Linked DNA regions of Elephas maximus indicus. The protein of the gene in region 2 purifies or fractionates together with the protein of the main gene of each other region. This does not show direct contact. Links are inferred from orthologs where the notes say so. Each region holds a gene or a part of one and is shown on either strand. Other genes may lie near its edges.

Evidence for each region. Proteins that work in one complex are often made in the same cells at the same time.
Region 1: the proteins of PKN3 (region 2) and ARHGAP26 purify together in Homo sapiens (affinity purification with mass spectrometry; 3 studies listed by BioGRID and IntAct, with this or other methods). This does not show direct contact. The link is inferred for Elephas maximus indicus from reciprocal best matches to the Homo sapiens genes PKN3 and ARHGAP26.

The regions. Positions count from the first base shown.
Region 1 is NC_064820.1:156,212,793-156,220,270, forward strand, and holds the start of ARHGAP26 (rho GTPase-activating protein 26), read left to right. Parts: upstream 1-4,450; 5' UTR 4,451-4,842; coding exon 4,843-4,996; intron 4,997-5,002; exon of another isoform or gene 5,003-7,478. UniProt on the Homo sapiens protein: GTPase-activating protein for RHOA and CDC42. Facilitates mitochondrial quality control by promoting Parkin-mediated recruitment of autophagosomes to damaged mitochondria.
Region 2 is NC_064827.1:79,680,177-79,687,649, reverse strand, and holds the start of PKN3 (serine/threonine-protein kinase N3), read right to left. Parts: upstream 3,001-7,473; 5' UTR 1,890-3,000; coding exon 1,875-1,889; intron 1-1,874.

The DNA.
Region 1 (7,478 bases), on a different chromosome or scaffold from region 2:
TCCATCTAGGAGCAGAACTGCTGGATCATATGGTGATTCTGCTAAACTTCTTAAGGAACTGCCAGACTTCCCCACAGTGATGGCACTGTTTTACATTAGCACCAGCAATGGATGAGGATTCCAGTTTCTCCACATCCTCACCAACACTTGTTATTTTCTATTTTTCTAATAATAGCCATCTTAGTGGATGTGAAATAATGGTTTTATGATTTGCATTTCCCTTAATGACTAGGGGGAGTCCCTGGGTGGTGCAAAGGGTGAATATGCTTGGCTGATAACTGAAAGGTTGGAGATTAGAGTCCACCCAGAGGCATCTTGAAAGAAAGGCCTGAAGATCTACTTCTGAAAAAGGCCATTGCAAATTCTATGGAGCATAGTTCTACTCTGATACACATGGGGCCATCACCTTGAGTAGGAATCAACATGACAGCAGTGGATAATGAGGTTGAACATTTTTCATGTGCTTTATTGGCCATTTGTATTTGTTCTTTGGAGAAATATCTATTCAAGTTTTTTGCCCATTTTAAAATTGGGTTGTCTTTTTTGTTGTTAGGTTGTAACCCAAAACACCCAGTGCCGTTGAGTCGATTCCGACTCATAGCGACCGTATAGGACAGAGTAGAACTGCCCCATAGAGTTTCCAAGGAGCGCCTGGAGGATTTGAACTGCCACCCTGGTTTCTTCATACATTCTGGATATTAAACTCTTATCAGATATGTGGTTCCCAAATATTTTCTCCCATTCTTCAGGCTGTCTCTTCACTTTGTTGATAAATTCCTTCGATGCACAAAAGTTTTTAGTTTTGATGAAGTCATATTTATTTATTTTGGTTTTTGCTACTTGTGCTTTTGATATCATAACTGTGAATCCAATGTCAAAAACAAGGTCTTAAGGCTTTATCCCTATGTTTTCTTCTAAGAGTTTTTTTTGTTTGTTTGTTTCAGTTCTTATATTTAGGTCCGTGATCCATTTTGAGTTAATTTTTGTATGAGGTGTGAAGTATGGGCCCAAATTCATTCCTTTGCTTGTGGAGATACAGATGTCCCAGAACCATATGTTGAAAAGACTATTCTTTCCCCATTGAATGGACTTGACACCTTTGTTGAAAACCGATGGCTATAGATGTATGGTTTTTATTCTGGACTCTTTTTGCATTTGTCGATACATCTAGTCTTATACCAGTACCACACTGTTTTGATCACTGTAGCTTTACAGTACATTTTGAAATCCAGTAAAGTGTGAGTCCTCCTACTTTGTTCTTCCTTTTTAAGATTGTTTTGGCTCTTTGGGGCCCTTTGCAATTCCATATGATTTGAGCATCAGCTTTTCCAATTCTGCAAAAAAGGCTGTTGGAATTTGGGTGGCGATTGCATTGAATCTGGAGATCACTTTGGGGGATATCGATACCTTAACAATATTAATTCTACTAATTTATGAAAATGGGATGTCTTTCCATTTATTTAGGTCTTCTTCAATTTCCTCCAGCAATGTTTTATAGTATACAAGTCTTTCGTCTCCTTGGTTAAATTTATTGCTAGATATTTTATTCTTTTAGACACTATTGTAAATGGAATTATTTTCTTAATTTCCTTTTCAGCTTGTTCATTGCTAGTTTATATAAATGATTTTTGTGTGTTGATTTCTTACCCTGCAACTTCGCTGAATTCATTTATTAGCTCTAGTAGCTTTCGTGTGGATTCTTTGGGATTTTCTATATATAGGATCATATTGTTTGCAAATATAGTTCTACTTCTTCCTTTTTAATTTAGATGCCTTTTATTTATTTATTTTCTTGTCCTACTGCTCTGGCTAGAACTTCCATTACAATGTAAATAGTAATGGGTTAAAATGGCCATCCTTGCCATTTTTCTGATCTTAAGGGGGAAGCTTTTGGTCTTTCACCATTTAATATGATGTTCAATTGGCTTTTTCAATAATGGCCTTTATCATGTTTACAATTTTCCCTCCTATTCCTAGTTTGCTGAGTGTTTTTATCACACGAGTGTGTTGGATTTTGTTAAATGCTGTTTTTGCATTGATTAAGATGATCGTGTGGTTCTTTTCCTTTGTTCTATTAATGTGGAGTATTAAATTGCTTGATTTTCTTATGTTGAACTGCTTTTGCATTCCTGGGATGAATCCCGCCTGGTCATGGTGTATAAGCCTTTTAACATGTTGTTGGGTTTGGCTTGCTAGTATTTTGTTGAGGATTCTAGCATCTATTTCATAAGGAATATTGGTCTGTAGTTTTCTTTTCTTGTGGTGTCTTTATCTGGCTTTGGTACCAGGGTAATGCTGGCCTCATACAATGAGTTAGGAAGTCTTCCCTCCTCGTCTATTTTTTTTTTTTGGAAGAGTTTCAAAAGGATTGGTGTTAATTCTTAAATGTTTGGTAGCATTCACAAATGAAGCCATCTGGTCCGGGGCTTTTCTGTGTTGGGAGGTTTTAAGCCTTAAGTTTTGGTGTGCTTTTTAAATGCATCAATATGTAACTAGAAAGCCTACCTATTTTGTTGTCATGATATAGCATCAGATATGATAGATACAGACCCTACTTTCATGGAGTTTCCATTCCAGATCTATCTCCTTCTTGGCAAGTCAGGAACAACTATTTTCAGAGTTATAACTATCTATGAGATGGCTGTTTGGCTGTGCTGTTAAGCCTAGATTCGTAGATGTCATTGTTAGGTATCATCAAGTTGATTCTGACTCATAGAGATCCTTTGTGACAGGGCCAAACTTCCCCACATGGTTTTCTTGGGTGTAATCTTTATGGAAGCAGATTGTTGGGAGCACATCGCCAGGTCTTTCTCCTGTGGGGTCACTGGATAGGTTTGAGCCATCAACCTTTTGGTTAGCAGCCTAGTGCTTAACTGTTTGTGCCACCAGGACTCCTTCCATTTGTAGGTACAACTGGCAAATAGAGCTTATTCATTTATTAATTTATGCATTTAATCAATCAGTCAACTTCTCAACTTGGAGGGGATGCCTTCTCTGACCCCTCCATGGTGGGAAGCAACAAGTCCTTTCCCTATTCTAACCCTTGTTGCTGAGCATTGTTATTGCTAGTTTGATTGTGTCTCCACCGATGACTAGCTGCAGTCAAGTTCTTTCTATGTTATTCATCTTTGTATCCCGAGCATCTAGCCTAGTGCCTGCACATAGCAGGCCTATTTAAAAAAGAACGAAACCAAACCAAACACACTTAATTGAAGGAGAACTGCTAATTCCTAGACATACAAGTAATTTTTCCAAAGACAGTATCTATCTTCCGGGCAGCCGTGGTGGCGTAGTCGTTAAGAGCTTGGCTGCTAACCAAAAGGTCGGCAGTTCAAATCCACCAGCTGCTCCCTGGAAACCCTATGGGGCAGTTTTACTCAGTCCTATAGGGTCATTATGAGTCGGAATCCACTCGACGGCACCTAACAACAACAATCTTTCAGGAGCTCACAATTCAGCACAAAACGCTGTGTAGGACCCAGTCTGACAAGCTGTCTGAACTGAGTCCTGTGGCCCAACAGAGTCCAACGCATTGGAGATGGCAGGTGGAAAGGGGCACGGGAAAGGATTCATTCATTTATGCCACAACGTACCATACGGTAAGCGCTAAAATATCTCTTATCAAATGCGAGCCACTGTTCCAGGTATTAGGTATATACCAGGAAACAAGAAAGTTGTGGTGGCCGTGCCTTGGTGAAGCTCACGATGTAGCGAAGGACGACAGGTAGCAGACCTACTTAAAACAGTATGTAAAATTGTGCTAGGTGCCGAGAAGGAAAATAACAGGCGGCAGAAATTATCTTAAGGATGTTAGACTCTTAGGTCCGGGCAGCCGTGGGCAGGTTTTGAGCAGGAGCGGCCATGAGGGGGCGGACTCTGGGGGGCGGGAAGACCGCAGACAAGAGTCGCTGGTAATTTTAAGATGTAAATATTTTCCGCCCGACTTGAAGAAGGAGCGTATGCCTAGGGGCGACGTGGTCGCTCAGTGTGCTTGGTGTTCTCCCGGGGCGCACTGGGCTGCATTTTGAGCGCAAGCTCGGTTGCCCAGCAGTGTTGGGCGGGCTGCGGGGAACTGCAGCCCAATCTCCCAGATTTTTTACGTTCGGCACATCTAGATTCTTCCGCCCCCAGAACAGCAGACGCACCATCCGGGCTCGGATCCGGGCCGCAGCAGCGGACAAGGTCTAGCGTGCCTGGAGTCCTTGCACAGCAGCGCTCACCCCCGGGTCTTGGGGTCTGCAACAGCCGGCGGGCGGGAGGGGGCGGAGCTTACTCTGCGGACCTAGGCGGTGGCGTGGGACCCGTCCCTCGACCTAGGCCCCGCCTCCAGACCACAATGATTGGTTCAAGCCCGCGGAAGGGACGGGCGGCCCCGAGCTGCCGGGGGGTCGGGCTGGAGCGGGGGCGCTGATTGGTTCAGCAGGGATTAGGTCATCGCTAGCAGGTTCGAGCGGCCCGGACGCCGGCGGGGCGGCAGAGGCTGCTGTGAGAGGGCGCTCGAGGCTTCTTGAGCAGGAGCAAGCTAAGGAGGCGGGGAGGCGGTGTCCGCACTCGCTCGCCTGCTCGCTCGCTTCCAGGCGCCGCTTCGGGTTCGCTGCTGCTCTCCCTTTTCGCCCACCGCTTAGTGGCGCGCCCCGCAGCAGCCGCCCTTCGACCAGATCCAGGCTCATTTCGGGAGTCTTGCGCGCCCGCCGACACCGCGCGGAGAGCGAGCAGGCGCCACACCTGTGGAGCCGGCGACCGTCGGGGGTGCGGGCCGAACTCCCGCCGCGTGCGTGCTCGGGGCGACAGTCCGCCGGGGCCCCGGGGGAGGCGCGCCCCCGGCTGGGAGCCGCGGGCATCATGGGGCTCCCCGCTCTGGAGTTCAGCGACTGCTGCCTCGACAGCCCGCACTTCCGTGAGACTCTCAGGTCACACGAAGAGGAGCTGGACAAGACCAACAAATTTATCAAGGAGCTCATCAAGGACGGGAAGTCACTCATCAGCGCGCTCAACAGTGAGTGCCCCCGAGCCTGGCGGGGACGGCTGTGCCGGGGCGGGAGGGGTCGTCGGGCGGTGCTCAGTCCTTGTCGCCCGCGCGCCTCCGGGTTTTTTCACCCAGCTGCACTGAGTGACGGGTGTAGATGCTCATAACGAGGCAGGAAGGACACATAAAATGGGCGAGCCAGCAACAATCAGATGAGGAAGGAGACCCGTCGCCCAGCCGTTTGCGTTCTGGGTTGACAGGGAGGTGACCCGAGCACGAGTGGTGCTCTTGGGCGCCGCGGGTGGGTGTGGGCGGCATTCAGGTGTCCCGCAAGTGGGGCAGTAGTGCCTGGCCCGCCGCAGCCTGTCGGGAAGCCTCATCGCGTTCACTGCTCTGGCTCCCTTATGGGAAGAGTTATCACCCCTGGGTGCCTAGCCGTAGGGCTGGAGCGTGCTCTGCCGAGAAGGCGACGCCTCCCCTCGGGAAAAGGCAGGTGTGACTATTTCGATCCCGGTATGCAGCTCCCAGATTGGCGGTTCGAACCCACCACCCGCTGAGCGGGAGAAAGATGTGTCAGTCTGCTTCCATAAAGATTTACAGCCTTGGAAACCCTATGGGGCAGTTCTACTCAGTCCTATAGGGTCGCTGTGAGTGGAATTTGACTTCAGGGAAGTGGGTGGGATGCAGCGCTAGCCTGCTCAAGGCCGCCGGCTTCTCCGAAAGGCAGAGGGCTGCCTACGGAGGGGCTGGGTGAAATGGTTGGTTAGCCCGCGATTCTTTAGAGTATTGGCAGCAGGTCGCCCCCAAATCCAGCATCAGTGCCATTTACGTGTGCAGGTTCTGAATTTTGTGTTTAGCAGAAGGTGATTGGGGTGGGAGTAGAGAATCAGAGTGTTCCTTTACTCTAAACTGTGGGCGAGGGTTTAAAAATAGAATGAACATACCCTGACTCCCTCTCTCGTTCCCTCGTTCTCCTTTTTACCTCTCCCATTATGCTTGAAAACTCAAATGTTGGAGAAGAAATGTCCTCTGTCCGCACCCAGAAAGAAGTTTAAATTCATCTTAAAGATTCTCTAACCTTTCGTAAAACTGCCTTTTTGCTTTCTTTCTTTGTGGTAGGGAAGAAATGAAATTTAAATCCTGTATATGGTTTTCCCTTGACTTGCACAGATGCCAGGGAGTTTCTCCTGGCCAAAGAGAGAGTGGTGCTCTAGGGAATCAGCGCCTTGGATTATGAGAGTGTTTTTGGTTCCTTTTCAGTCTAACCATTTTAAAAATAGTTCAATCCATATTATAATTTCCAGAATTAGAAATAATACGAAGGCAGATAGTGGAATTGTCTTTGACTCTTTTACTTTCCTGTCTCTGATGGATTTCTTAATAGGTGGTATATTTCAACTATGAAAGTTTGCATTGGTAGAGTGGGGTCCAAGCTGTGAGAATTGCATGCAGGCCTCCTTAAAGGAGTGCCTGAGGTGTCATTTTGTGAGCCTGTTGCTTCTAAAAATGGAGACAGAGACGATGGAATCCCAGGGCAGCAAGTGCCAATCTTTTGGGGTGAAATGAGTATAAAACTAATGGGAGTAATGAGGCATCTTAGAGGCAGGGTCTCTGCTGGGATCTGTGCCTTACCTGAAGCATATGAATAGACTCTTCTTTTGTCAGTGACCAGGGACTCCCTTGACTCAGGGAACACTGGACCCCTGGTTTGGAGCCAGTTAGGGGCTCACTTAGGGGTTGGGCCCAGGAATTTTGATTGAACTCTGAGGCTGCCTTGAATTTGGACCCCTGATCATTCAGCAAAGTTTGGAGTGACTGGGGTGTGCTGGGTAATTGCGCTGGACACTGAGGATGTCGCAGTGAACATTCTGTTGCCACCATGGCTGCGGAGGTTTACTCCATGCTGGACGCGGCTTCACCTAGGAGTTACCTCATACAAATGAGAAAACTGAGGCTTGAGGATACACTAGCCCAGAGTCACACAGCTCTAGTGGCTGGGCTTAGTTTAGTACTCAATGGTCTCAGCCAGAGATGAAGTTAATACTCTTGCAGAACTCTTGAGCCTGTTCCATCCCATTTGCCCTGAATGGAACTCTCTGGACCAGACCTGCTAGAATTTGGACTTGTGTTTTATACTTCAGCCTTGAATCTGGGGAGATTGCATTTGGGTGACTGGCAATTTGCCCAACTACTTTTTTTTTTTTTTAAGAGTGCTTTGGGTAGGAAGAAATATTTCAGTGATGGGGTTCGAGGGCTATTTCAGTTGTCTAATTGACCAGCCCTATAACTTGTGAGGAAGACTGATTGGGAACTAGGTGTAAAAAAAAAAAAAAAAGTACTGGTCTCTAAATCTAGCTCTACCACTAAATGTGACCTTGAACAGGTCATGTGACCTTTTAGAGCTTTGGTTTTCTCATCTTTAAAATAGAGTGGAGCTGTTTCCCAGACTTCAGGCATTCACTTATCAACTAGATACTGCTGTGTTGTATACTGCAGTTTTGGTATTTACGTA
Region 2 (7,473 bases):
GGCCACTTATCCAGCTCACTCTGCTGCCCTCTGCCATTCAGAAAAAGAAAAGAGAGGGAGAAAAATAGCTGACACTTCGAAATGGTGCTTGCTTGGTGCCAGGTTCTGTTCTAGAGCTTTACATATACTAACTCCTTAATCATCATACTAACCCCATGAGGTGGGTGCCATTATCCCCATTTTACAGATGAGGAAACTGAGACACAGAAAGGTTAAGTAGTCTATAAGGTCACAACCCAGAGAAGATGTCACCATCTCTTGGGCCACAGCCTCTCCCTGTCAGCTACCCTTAATCAGGATGCTTTCTCTATATTTGGGAGCCAGGGTAGATGAAAAAAGAGGTTCACTGCTGAGAAGGGTTGTGCCGAGCTACTTGGAGAAGGCAATCAGAGGCCTGAATGAGAGGTCAGGGCTTGTTCCCCTGATGCTCCAATACCACAGGTGGCAAAGAGTACAGTACAATGGATCACTTTTACATGGCCTTTTAACTCCTGCCAAATGATAGGGTGGGACTATGCAAATGAGGTACTTGTGGCCCACCAAGGGGGTTGGATAGCTTGTTAATAATGCAGATAAGGTGCATGGCACCCTTGTGAGGGTGGGACCATGCAAATAAGGTATATGGAACCCTAACAAGGGGATTGGTCAATTTTGCCATCCCGCTAGGCTTAAAATGAGCCATCCTATAGGTGGACAGGGGAGACTTCACCACCACCAAGAAGAAAAGGTTCAAGTGGAGTGCATCCTTCAGACTCGGGGTCCCTGTGTTGAGAACCTTCTATACCCAGGAGACAGAGAGAGAAAGCCGTAACACTGGAGATGGCATAAGACAGTGAGTTGGGATGACAGGGAAAGGAGAGCAGACCAACAAGAGACAGAGCAGTGGGTCTCCCGGCCCAAGGAGCAAGGCTGTTACAGTGGGTGTGCTGACCTAGGGATCCACTGAGCAAGAGACCTGAGAGCCTTCAGGCAGGAGGCTTCCTTGTGGAGTGGGGGGTCCCTGGGCACTTACTGGCAGAGCTAAAGAGCTTTGTAACACTTGCCCAAGCAGACAGAGGCTGGGCTGAGAGGCTGAGGGACCAAGGGCCAGAGAGAGGCCTGCCTGCGGGCACAGCTGAGAAGAGGCTGTCCTGATGGAAGAACTGTGTCCTGAGTTGTTCCTGATCCTGAATTGTAACCTGTTACTTCCCTAATAAGGAGCCCTGGTGGTGCAGTGGTTAAAGTGCTCAGCTGCTACCTGAAAGGTCAATGGTTCGAACCCACCTGCTGCTCCTCTGGAGAAAGATGTGGCAGTCTGCTTCTGTAAAGTTTTATGGCCTTAGAAACCCTATGGCGCAGTTCTATTCTGTCCTGTGGGGCCACTCTGAGTCAGAATTGACTCAACAGCAGTGGGTTTATATTATTTATTTATTTTTTGAACTTCCCTAATAAACTCCTTAACTGTGAGTATGGTCTGTGAGTTGTATGGCCATTGCAAGGAATTATCAAACCCAACAGAGAAGCAGAGAGTACCGAGGGAGAGATGGCTGGTTTTAGATTTGGTAAAAAGGTTGAAGAGAGGAGGTACGTCTGACCTCCACCTCATTGGATTCAGCTTTGGGCTGATGTGATCGTGATTTTCTCTCCCCCTCCTGAAGTGAGAGGCGGTCAGGTGCCCACCCCCCATGCCATTTTTATAGAGGGCCCACTCCCAGATCGGTTCCTGGGGAAAGGAGGAAGCCCTCACTACCTCACTCCAGGCTGGAGCAAGGAAGAGGAAAACCTCCTTCCCAGAGGCCATTTCAAACTGACTGGTGCCAAAGCTGACCTCAGCGCAGAGTAACTGCTGATGCCCACCCCAACTCTTGCAGGGCCCCCTATACCCTCCACCTTACCTTTCGCCTCTCCATCTCCTGAGCACCGTAGAAGGGGTAGGCACCCCAGTCTCAGGGTCCCCACCCCAGGTCTGCCCTAGGCCCGCTGGGCCTAGCTGGGGAGGGCAGGGGCGAGGCTCAGGAAATCCTTTGACCGCCCTAGGCGAGAGAGCCAGAGCCAAAGGCCTGAGCAAACAAAGATCCCATGGAGCTAGGGGCCCGGCCACCAGGGTCCTGAGTCACCCTGCTGCTGCTGGGCGGAGGCTTGAAGGAAATAGGAAAATGTGTACAAGCCACCGCTGAAAGGAGCAGACGGACCTCCGGAGGAAGAGGGTGGGAGAGGGGGTGGACGCAGGCTTGAAGGCTCTCTAAGCGTTTGGGGTAGGGGGAGCTCAAGTAATCTCTGCTTAGGACACCTCACCCCTGGACATACCCCATGGTCCTGTCTGTTCTGCTGGGGCCCTATCTTGTATACACACGTTTGCGTTGGGCTAGGGCACCTCCCCCTCCCCAGTAACAGACGCATACACAGGCTTGGCCCCCTGTGCCCACTCGCGCCGACTGCCAACTTTGGGCTGGAACCCCGCCGGCCGCGGCGTTCTGGGCTGGAACTCTGTGTGCCTGGAGGTTCCGCCCCGGCGCTGTGCTAGGACCTTCCCCTCGTGTACATTCCCCGCGCGCCTCGTGAGCTCGGGGAAAGACCCCGCAGGTGTGCAGACTGGCCCCCTTCTGGGACCCCTTTTTACGCGCACACAGCCTCTTCACGCCCAGGGTCCCTTCCCAAGTGCCCACACGAACCCCCTTTGCTTTCCCGGCTAATTCCCACTGCCCCTGGTGTCCCGCCTGGAAGAACCGATTTTAGGAAACTCTGGGGCCTGTCCAGGTGGCTCTGATTGACGATTCAGACGTGCTCATGGGCTGGCCTGACTAGAGGCTGCTCTGAGTCACCTCGTGGCTGATTTAGGGAATAACCCCAGTGCGCAGATCTTCTTTGAGAAGACGTAGCGGGGCCCGGGACAGGGACTGGGACTGGGAAGGGATGCGGGGAAGGGTGGGGGTCGCGGATGGAGAGGACGGGACTCGGGGCGCGGCGGAAGCTTTCCCCTCACCCCCTCGGCCCCCGCCCGGGGCCCGCCCTCTCCGGATGCAGTTCACCTGCCGCGGCGCCCCCTCCTCCATGGTGCCGCTCGGGCCCCTCCTCTCGACTACTCCGGTTCCGGAAGCCCTGGCTCCTCTACCAGGACTTTCAAACTTGAAACTTCCCGGGAAGCGGCGTTGGAGAAGCGGGATCGGGCGCCCCCTCCCGAGATCCGCTGGCCTTTCCGAGACCTTGGGATTAGCGCCGCCTCTCGGCCGCGTCTGATCAGCGCCCTAGATCCTGCTCCTGAAATCGGAGGGCCCAGTACCTCCCCGGTGGGGCATTTTGGACCCCACGGACCCTCTCCTTAGGCCGCAGTTCCAGCTCTGTTCGGTGACCCCCGGCCCGGAACAGAAGGCGCAGAAAGAACCATTTCCCCGGCCCTGGCTCCTTAGCATTGCCGGCAGCGCACTTAAGAGAGGCGGAGCTGGGTGGGGAAAGGCCCCTCGGTACGTAGTTGTTGTTAGTTGCCGTCTGTACCCAGCAGACTCTTTAAAATGGGGAATCAGGTTGTCCTGAGCTGAATGCTAATGCTTATCCATACGTAATTCATAAATAAAAAGGGGTTCCGCTTTTGATAGCAGCTCATAGGTTCAAGAGAAATCCTTGAATCAAACTAGCAATCCTCCTCCTTTCAAGGAATTATCCAATAGTGCAATCAATCAAGCCAACCAGCACAACGCTAATTAACGTTTAAAAATAAACGTATTTGACTGGATGGAGAATGTCGCTTCTGCAAGCCAAATGGATTACCTGATTCAACTCTCCATGGGAGGGTGTTTCCCAACTCGAGGATCATTTATCCACTCCCTGCAGCCAGGAAGCTGAATTATGTGGGGGAACTCAAGATGGTTTTCCTGTGAAATCTTTCACTGCCTCATATGTCACTTAAGGGAAAGGAGTTCAGAACTAACAGCATCCATTCACCCCTCACTTTCTAATGCACGCAGGCGGGGCAAAAGCCAAGCTTCAACAGTCTCCAGTCCTGGGCTGATGGATGAAGAATGACCAAAGAACTGTATCTCCTGTCTGATGGTGATAATTCATGGGATTGTTAATTCTTAGGAAAACTGAAGCTTGTGCTCAGCATCTAGTGGATAGTGAATAGTGCAAACCAACTCTAACGAATTGGCTGTTCAAAGACTATACAGTCAATCTGAAAGGAATCTACAACTTCCTAGCAGGCTACTTAAATAAGGTAACATTTTCCCTCTTCCCCTACACATTTTTTTTTTTCTTAGTATTGCAAACATCAGTCTGTCTATGTTAGATTTGCCTTCCTTGGGTAGAATCTGAGTGTTCTAATCACAAAAAGGCAGTCCTTTTCCTCAGACCTGTTAAAAACTAAATTTGTATGCCTTCACAAGCACAGCCATATATTAAAAAAGGAATGGTCCCTGCTGGGGGGGAAGGGGATTAGACTTTTCAAATGCCAAAATGTTGTTCTCCATATAAACAAATGGAGTGGCTATTCACTCATCTCCTGAAGAACTTGTCCCAGCCTTCAGGAAATCCTGAAGTTTTCATCCTTCGTAAAAGAATTCTGTATTTGCAAAGGCCAGGAAAGGTTCATAGCAAAATCTAACAGCAGAAAAACATGTTTCTGTGACCAAGCGAAACCATAAATTGAGGTATATGCATTATGAAACAGTAATTGAGAGAGGTTACCAGATGAATTAAAAAACAATTACTCAGAATAAAAAACTCGTATGTTTTAGCTAGCCAGATGTAAAGCAAACTTGTCAGCCAAAGAAATCCAGGTACTCTGTGGACCATTTAAAAGAGTTGGGTGAAATATAGAGGGTGCTGGCATCTTATGGAGATAACCAAAAACCAAATGAGTTGACTCCAACTCCTAGCAACCCTATAAAACAGAGCAGAACTGCCCCCATAGGGTTTCCAAGGACTGGTTGCTGGATCCAAACTGCTGACTTTTTGGTTAGCAGCTGAGCTCTTGGCCAGTGTATCAACAAGGCTCCAATGGAGGTAGGGGAATCCAATTAAATGTCTTATTTGAAATCAGGACATCATTGAAGCAGCAGCAACCTCAACAACTGCCAGAATAGCCTGGAAAAGGACATTTAAGGTTTTTGAACTAAATAAGAACACATTAGGAGTTGCTGTCCTCTGCCTTCCCAATTCATGCAGTTATTAAATTCTCAAGTACAGCACAGCTTTAGAGGATCATGCCCTTTCCTGAATAGCCTGAATAGCCACTATTTGACTTTTTCTTTTCTAAATGTCCTTATAGCAAAGGGGCTTTGAGTTACTCATCCAACCTTTCCCAATACACACTTGCCCGAAGTTTGGCCCAAGAACTCCTCTGGCAGTTGGTGAGAAAGTATACTATTCCGCAGTGATTTTTCAAGAGGTTGTCCTGTCTCTTTGCTCCCTCACAACCTAGAACTTTTACAAGATTTGCAGACACAAAGGGAGTCTAGAGTTGGATCCAACTCATAGCAAGCCTACAGGAGAGTACAACTGCCCCACCGGGTTTGCAAGGAGTGGCTGATGGAGTCAGACTGCTGACCTTTTGGTTAGCAGCCAAACTGTAAACCACAGCACCACCAGGGCTTCCGGATTAACAGGGGCAAACCATTACCTTAGAGGGCTCCCACTTTTTCAGACCCCAAAGATATGAAATATGCTTCAATGTGACACATAACCTAACTACCCCACAATATTAACCAGGACAGAAAACTCCCGGTTGTGGTCAATGGTAACTTTGTGAAACAGACTCACAAGCTCACTTCAGTGGGTATTAATTCAGCAGATTATTTTTCCTAGTGGAAGTCCTTTAAATATGGAGGAATATTTGAAATATTCAATTTCCGGTTTACTCACCTAAATAACAGTAATTTGTCCACAATTTCTGTATTCACCAGCTCAAACCTTTGCACATAAATTTATCTATTTGAAGTTTTCCCACACCTCCCCCCCCCGCAAGGATGAAACGAGCAACCAAAAAACTGAATAGCTTACCACCATCTAAATCCAAAAGCAAGTTTCTCTACAAAACAAGGCGAATGACCCCAGTCAAAAAAAAATCTTTATGTTCCTTTATTGGAGCAAGATTCCTGACCAGTACAGTGATGTATTTACTAAACATAGAGTCCTGTGCAGAGAAATTACATACTATCCATCTAAACAAGTTTTGTTACACTTTGCCTCTTGATGGAATAGTTCCATTTATAAAGTTTTATACATCAAAAGTTTTGAATTTGACCAGGCTGGCCACTGATTCATCTCTGAAAACGTTAAGTGGCGTTGATTTAGCTACATATTTTACAGCATTAAAAAAGCTTATGCATTAGGTAGCTTCTCAAAATGTTACTATGTGCACAATGGCATTTAACAGACCGAGCAAAGTCCGTCACCTCACCCAGATTCACATAGATGAGTCTCATCTGAGATAGCTTTAGGTTGGAGAGCTGGTACTTGAAGACAAAGAAAAGTACTCCTAACCTGAGTTTCTCACCAACACAGACATACTGAGCGCCTGTCTTCTTAGGCACATGTCACAGTGCCAATGAAGACATGCCAGCAACTGCCCTGTGTGTGACTCGGCATTAGAGCACCAGACCTGATGGCGGTGGCAGGCACTATTATAGTTATTACATCCAAGTAAATAAGGGCCCATTTTTTTTAAATTGCCACTTGAGATAAAAATCAAGGGTACACATACTGAATTTTGCGTAATCTAGTATCCCCAATGTGAATATTTTCAGAAACCGATGACAAATTGTATCCAACGTTTCCCAGCTATGGAGCCTTTAATATATTGATTCAAATCCCTTTACTCAGTCCACATAGCCCTGAGGTCATCCTGCAAAGTGCGTATCAAAAAATATGGAGTTAAGGTGACACAGTTTGACAACGATATGTTAAACAAGTCAAACTTGGAGGTCTTAAGTATATCTGTTCTGAGAGAAAAGCATCAAATCCTTTGTGTACACATTTAGTTTTATTGTAACAAAGCAACTTGTACACTTTTAACGTTTAAAACTGAGCATCTTTCCTTTCCAGTGAAAACAAAAAGAAAATTTAAAAATAAACAGGAACAAAATTACAATAGAGAATGTCAATTCCAAATTAAGATCCTACAGGTTCTGCTGATTCTCCCATCAAGTGGCAGGGCTCAAGTCATCATTAGGAGAGAATTTTATTTTAAAAGTGTCATCTTAAACTGCAAGGATGTCCGTTAAACATCACAATTAAACATGCCAAAGGAGAAGCCATGTTGTCAAAATGCCCACTTAACCCACCCAAACATCTCAAACCCACCCTTTGCTGACCTTCTATAACCCCATTTTTTTTTTTTTTAAGTTTTTTTCTTCTTTTTTTAAACAAGAGAAAGTAGACAGATACATGTTGGTAAATGCTAACTGTCCATATTCACATAGACACAGTGTAATCTCTGAGCCCAATATACAGAGAAAGGAGGAAAAAAGCTAGAATTCTATGCACTACTACACAGGGGCC